Linked DNA regions of Nothobranchius furzeri. The protein of the gene in region 2 binds, or shares a complex with, the protein of the main gene of each other region. Links are inferred from orthologs where the notes say so. Each region holds a gene or a part of one and is shown on either strand. Other genes may lie near its edges.

The links. Proteins that work in one complex are often made in the same cells at the same time.
Region 1: exosc3 (region 2) and exosc5 share a complex: the UniProt entries of both Homo sapiens proteins name them as parts of the RNA exosome core complex. The link is inferred for Nothobranchius furzeri from reciprocal best matches to the Homo sapiens genes EXOSC3 and EXOSC5.

Annotation. Positions count from the first base shown.
Region 1 is NC_091753.1:58,582,384-58,584,732, forward strand, and holds the end of exosc5 (exosome complex component RRP46), read left to right. Parts: coding exon 1-139; intron 140-1,466; coding exon 1,467-1,556; intron 1,557-1,657; coding exon 1,658-1,753; 3' UTR 1,754-1,849; downstream 1,850-2,349. UniProt on the Homo sapiens protein: Non-catalytic component of the RNA exosome complex which has 3'->5' exoribonuclease activity and participates in a multitude of cellular RNA processing and degradation events.
Region 2 is NC_091741.1:64,434,336-64,438,604, forward strand, and holds the start of exosc3 (exosome complex component RRP40), read left to right. Parts: upstream 1-1,469; 5' UTR 1,470-1,511; coding exon 1,512-1,736; intron 1,737-2,223; coding exon 2,224-2,373; intron 2,374-3,060; coding exon 3,061-3,212; intron 3,213-3,748; coding exon 3,749-3,956; 3' UTR 3,957-4,269. UniProt on the Homo sapiens protein: Non-catalytic component of the RNA exosome complex which has 3'->5' exoribonuclease activity and participates in a multitude of cellular RNA processing and degradation events.

The sequences.
Region 1 (2,349 bases), on a different chromosome or scaffold from region 2:
CCTGTCCTGCTGCCTGAATGCGGCCTGCATGGCTCTGATGGATGCAGGCTTGTCCATGAGCTGTCTTTTCTGTGGAGTGACGTGCGCCATCGGTGCGGACGGTGACATCATCGCAGATCCCACAGCAGCTCAGGAGAAAGTAAATCTGAAAGGAATTTGAAGCAAATACTGAGACTCCTTTAGTTCTTTTCAGGTTTTAATTGATGCGAAGCTCTGATGAAGACGAGCCTGTAGAAAAACAGCTCCCAGGAATTCGGCACAGACGACCCCGGTGCAGTCGACATCATTTCAGCAGACCACACATCCATCCGTGGTTAAAAACCTGTGGGTGCTGACCTTTACTTACTTCACCTGCAGAGTTTCTCTCTGGGCCACGACTACATTTCCCAGGGAGTTTCCAAAATATCTCAAAATGTTTGCGAGAGGTTCTTAGCTTCCTCCTGAGTCGCAGGGCTTCGCACCTGGGTCTCTGGGTCTTTGTGGGTGTCCTGGAAGGATTCTGTTTAGTTTCTGTTTGAAATGTGAGACAACTTTGGGAGGAACCTGAGAAAAGACCTGAGAAGGCACGTTGTGACCGACTGGAGACCGAAAAGAGAGCATCCAAGCAACAATAACGAGGATAAATCACAAACAAGTTAAAGAGCAAGTCACCCCCTACCATACAAAACATACACACACACAGGCTCACAACGACATTGTGACATCATATGGTACCAGCTAACGTTCCAGGGTACCTCTTAGCCAATAGCGACGGCAGATTTAAATTCAACTGCAGTGCAGAGTTTTTACCTGACAACGGCACAACACTGACAGTTTTAGACAGAATATTTCAATTTTTACTAAAATGCATAAAAGTGCAAAACTGTTGATGACACGTGTCTGCAGCACGATTAGACACGCGTTTATATAGTTTATCAGAAAAACAAGCTGATTTGGGGGTGACTTGCTCTTTAAAGAGCAAGTCACCCCAAATAACCTTTTTTTTTGCTGATAAACTAAAGAAACGAGTGTCTAATCGTGCTGCAGACACGTGCCGTCAATAATTTGTCACTTCAGTGCATCTTAGTTAAAATTTAAATATTCTGCCTAAAACTGGCAGTGTTGTGCCGTTGTCAGGTAAAAACTCTGCATTGTATTCTAATTTAAATCTTCCACCACTATTGGCTAAGAGGTATGCTATGATGTAAACTGGTAGATTATGATGTCACAATGTCTGTGTGTGTGTATTTGTTAGCAGCTCCGCCCCCTTGGTCTGCCAGGCAACAGCATTTGTTGCATTTTTCAAACATGAAGTGGGAGTGGAGTTAGATTCTGGTAGGGGTTGACTTGCTCTTTAAGATATTTTAGGAAATACACAAAGTGTTTAGTGTGACTCAAACAGCTCATTTGGTAGTTCTGGGCCTCCAGCTGGTTGCTAATGGTAACAGCGCAGGCTAATGCTGACCTTTTGTTTTTTCTTCCGTAAGGAAAGTCGAGCGTTGATGACTTTCGCCATCGACAGCACAGAACGAAGAGTGATGATGTCATCGACCAAAGGTTCATTTTCGGTCCAGGAGGTGAGCGATGAAGCGGGCTGTGTGTGTTTGTGTTTCTAATTCCTTTACGGCTTCCTGTTCGTTCCTCTGACTCCGTCGTTTGTCTTTCCGTTCGTCCACAGCTGCAGGAATGTGTAGCCGTCAGCCAGAAAGCATCGGAGAAGGTCTTCCAGTTCTACAGAGACTCCGTGAGACGGCGCTACTCCAAAAACCTCTGATTCCCCCCCCCCCTTCCAAGTCTTCTTTTAATAGAAAGCATAAATATTCAGTTTTTATTAATTATTTTCAAATAAAAAGAGAGGAAAATCTTTTCATTTAAGTGCATTCATTAGGATTTATTGATTTAATTCAAATATTCACACTTGAGAGTGACCGAACCTCCGTCTGACTGACTCGATGGAAACGCCTTCGGGTTAGGGTGGATGGAAACCAGAGCGACAGGAATCTTTTATTTGTCCCACGACGCAACAAGGTTTGTTTCTGTAGGATGTTGAAGACGTGCAGGCACAGTGGAGCTGAATCATCTGACGAGAACAAGATGTCCTCCGCCTTCGTATGACAAAGCCAGTTATTTGTAGTCGGCTATGAAAACAGAACTGGGTTCTCTTTTCTGGACCGGGGGTCTCGTTGATCAAACGTTGCGTAGCATCCTTACTAAAACGTTCCATCTTTCCGTTCTTTTAAAAACAGAAAGGTTTTATTTACCTGCAGCGTTTCGTTTGCGGCTGCAAACTTTGTCAGAGCTGACGCCGATGGTGGCGTCACTTCCTACGTCGTTTATCCGCGGGCAGCAGAGGACGTTGTCGCCCTCTGC
Region 2 (4,269 bases):
CAGCTCCTGACCACTGGAATTCCCAGTGTACTTTTAATTATCATTTATCCAAAATAAATCTTATTTTTTCTATCATTCTGTGTTCATGGTTGATTCTGCATGTCTTGGGTTAGACACATCCCTCAAAACATGACACATCACTCCCTGTTCTTAAATCTCTACTAGGGCTGCACATTTAATCAAATTTTATTCCCAATTATGACTTAAGTTTTGAACGATTATGAAAACAAAACAAGCCGATTATTTGCTCCTTCCTCTTGCACTGCTCCGAGTTGCAAATCAAGTGTTCACCCCCACAGTGTTGCCCACTTAGCAACTTTGTTGCTATTTCTAACAGCTATTCAGACCCCCTTCTTGACTTTTTAAATCCTAAAAGTACCTAGTTAACAACATGGAAACATCTAAGATAACACTTAGCTGCTTTCTGGATGGAGGGTGAAGGAGACATGTCCAACTTTTTAATCATTGAGGTGGGCTGAAAACAGCAGGAATACTCATATTATTAAAAATATGCACGCACCAGGGGCGTGTCCAGGGAGTAGCCTGGGGTAGCAAATGCCACCCTTGGAATCTGATTGGCCACCCCAGGTGCCACCACACTGAATTCCCTTTAAATAGGCTTTTCATTGTCCACAAAAGGCTTGGGGTAAAAAAAATGTAAAAAAGCATAACCATTGGTGCCACCCATGCACAAAGTAGTGCATCACCTAGGCCACCCCATTTTAAAAGATCTGGACACGCCACTGACACGCACCTCTCTTCTGACTGGCTAACAGAACATGTTCAGCCATGTTACAAAGTGACTATCACCAAGACACTCTCCGTTCTCTCTCCTCACTGTAAAAAAGTTAAAAAAGCCATCCTGTGCATGCACGAGCAAAGATAGGCTCGGCCAGTTCACACTGTGACATAGATATGTGAGGATTTTCAAATCCTAGCATTTCACAGTCTATTTTCTATCAGAAGCTAATGCAGGAGATAGGTGTAGAAGACTGTTTTCATGTTCAGCCTGCATGAAAAATTCAGAGTGACCGGTTCCCTGTCATTTCACTTTATTTATTATAACTCACCTTGTACTTCCTGATTTCTTTGTGTGAATTCCATATATGGGTTTATAGCAACATCTGGAGCAAATTTTGTGTCAATAGCCCACTTAGACATGCCCTTACTGATAAAAACGCTGAGGAGGTTCTGGGGTCAGTCGCTTCTATAGTTTTAAAAGATTCAGTGTGGACTGGAATCAGATTCATGCGGTTTGTCTGCCGCTCCATAAAGGGTCCCAAATCACGGCAAAGCTCCAGAAGGATCTCCTTCAGTATTCAGAAATTAGCCAGACTAAATAAATATATTATTTATATTTTTTATTGCAAAGCAAGAGTTTGGTCTAGTTCTCTTCTTGAGCAGCAGGGAGCGAGCTGAGCCGGAGGTCTATCTCCTCCTGAGCAGCAGGGGGCGCTCTGAGTCGGAACCAGAACAGAACCAAGAGGTCCAGACTTCTTCTAGCTAGCGGTATGTTTTCAAGTCTGAAGGAGAAAATCGGTGAAGTTCTTTTACCTGGAGATGAATTTGTCTTCGAGTCTGAGGACACAATTTTTCTAACAGACAATGTGAAGCCAGAGCGGCCGGTGTGTGGACCGGGGCTGCGGCAGAGCGGAAACCGGCTGGTGGTGAGCAAGAGCGGCGTGTTGAGGCACAAACCACCGCACACGTTTTGGATGGACTCACAGCAGTGGAGGGTGGGTACCGACCGGTCCAGACTGGACTCGCGGCCGAACCTGTCAGAACAGAACCGTGAGAGCTAATAGACAAGGTTCAGAGTTCTCACTGATGAAAAACCCGGCGGAAATTACATGTGTTTCTAGTTATTTGTCCCCCTATCCATACATTTGCGATGTGTTAACTTTTTTATACCCTAAAGTTTATCATTTATTATCTATTTCATATTCAAATCTGTTGAATATTCGTTTCCTTGTTAATGGTTATTTTTATTGTTCTATACACTTTGTTGTGATCGTATATAAAATTAAAAAGTTAATGTACCGGAAGTCTGAAGGAAGTCAAAGTTTGAAACTTTCTACAAAACTAAACTAGGGTGAAGTTAGGTTTATGTTGCAGTGGTGTTTTATACTGTTTCATCCGGTAACGATTATGGAAAGGTAAACTGGTCACGTTGGCACAAGCAGCATGTTCTATCCACTCACCACCTGAAACTTCTGTCCTCAGTATGTCCCAGCCAAAGCAGAGACGGTCATTGGTATTGTGACATCCAAGTCTGGGGACATCTTTAAGGTGGACGTTGGAGGCAGTGAGCAGGCATCTTTGTCCTATCTGGCCTTTGAAGGAGCTACAAAGAGGAACAGACCCAATGTCCAGGTGAGACTCAGGGGACAGTTTTTTTCTACTTGAAACAAGTGAGTCATGTTTAGAGTCCAGATTTGGGGGACCCGTCAGCTGTTTTTAGGAGTTCTGTGTCCCTTGTGACCCCAAAATCACAAGCATGCAACACACAGACACACATATGATCACTGTAGAGGATTGAAAGAAGAGTTCTGATGTATTGTTTTTACGCTGACCCAGTATGGAACGTGTCGGGACCAACAGGAAGTACACCTGATCGTTTAGTCATGCTGGGTGTCTTATGGGAAGAAAAAAAGTCTCAAAAAAATCTGTGTCTGTGTGTATCTTGATGTGTGTGTGTATCTAGATGTGTGTGTGTGTAGATAGATCTAAGCATGTATAACTCTTGATTTGTAACTTGTTTACATTTTCGTGTGTAACTTCAGTTCCTACACATACAGATCATTAAATAAACACACACACACAAATCACTTAGTACACACGGACAAAACTACATTACACACAGATCAGTTTACAAGTGCAAAAATCCTTTTGAGACTCATTTTCTCACCTGACTGATTTGTGCCTACATGGTGTGTTTGAATGCTGCATGTCTGATGGCTCAGGACCTTTTGGGTCCCTCTGGACTATCAGTACTTTGGTGCCCTGTCCTTATTGGACCAGATCAGCTTATGTATTGCCCTCTGTGTGTTCCCTGTGCAGGTTGGAGACCTGGTGTTCGCTCAGTTCACTGTAGCCAATAAAGACATGGAACCAGAGCTGGTGTGTATCGACGGATCGGGCCGGGCCAACGGGATGGGTGTTTTCGGAGGAGGTGGTCTGCTCCTCAAAGTCTCTCTGGGCCTCGTTAGAAGGTAACATTACCCAACATTTTCATTCTCTGACTGACAAACTCTGAACCAGCAGGAGCTTCTGGATGAGTATCAGGACTGGGTCAAAGGCCGGGTTCTGTTACAGTTGGGTTTCATCTACAGACATCAATTTACTTGCAAAGGTGTGAAGTTCTCACAGAACCACATATTTAGTCCTGATGGTTCTGGAACAAGACCCAGGTTATTTAAAGAGAATTTGTCTGAAACTGAAGCAGAGGTCATTGTCTGAGAACTGGGTCAGTTTGTCTTTAGTTCCATTTTTAATTGAACCATATGTGCCAGAGGGAGTGGCCTATTCTGACTCATAAGTCCAGTGTTGGGTAATAAAGAATCCTCTGACAGAACAGCTTCTGTGAGTGTCTTGCAGCTGTTCTAAATCAGAACAAGAGCCTCTTAACTCCTGCATGTATCTGTGAGTGATTATCAACAGGACAAAGTTAATCTGTTACAAAGACCCAACATTGAGTTCTGACATGGTAACAGCTCTGGTCGTGCTCTCGTTTCTCCCTCCCTAACAGGCTGCTGGCCCCCCAAAGTGACATCCGGTCTGACCTGGAACAGCTGTTCCCCTGTGAGCTGGTGGTGGGAATGAACGGTCGGATTTGGGTCCGAGCATCCACCATCCAGCAGACTCTGATCATCTCCAATCTCCTGCAGAGCTGTGACACCCTGACAGCACCGCAGAGACGGGAACAGTTCAGGAAGCTCCAGAAGGGGGGGCTGTAGGCTTCCCCCTCATCATATTTTACTCATTTTATTCATTAACTTGTTTATAACTTTGGTGGAAATAAGCTTTATTTCTGTTTGGAACAGGGTGACTTATTGGTTAAAAGTTTCATGACAGGTAGGAGCCATCACTGTGGAGACATGTGTTTGATCTTTAGAACTTGTGTTTAAACATCCAACAGTGGATTTTAGTTCTAAGGATCATTCCAGTGGAATTCAAAGCTGAGATGATGGAATGATGTAGCTGCAGTCTCAGGCAGGTGAATTTGGTGCCTGGAGGGAACCTGACAGATCAAATCCAACAAGTCTTAAA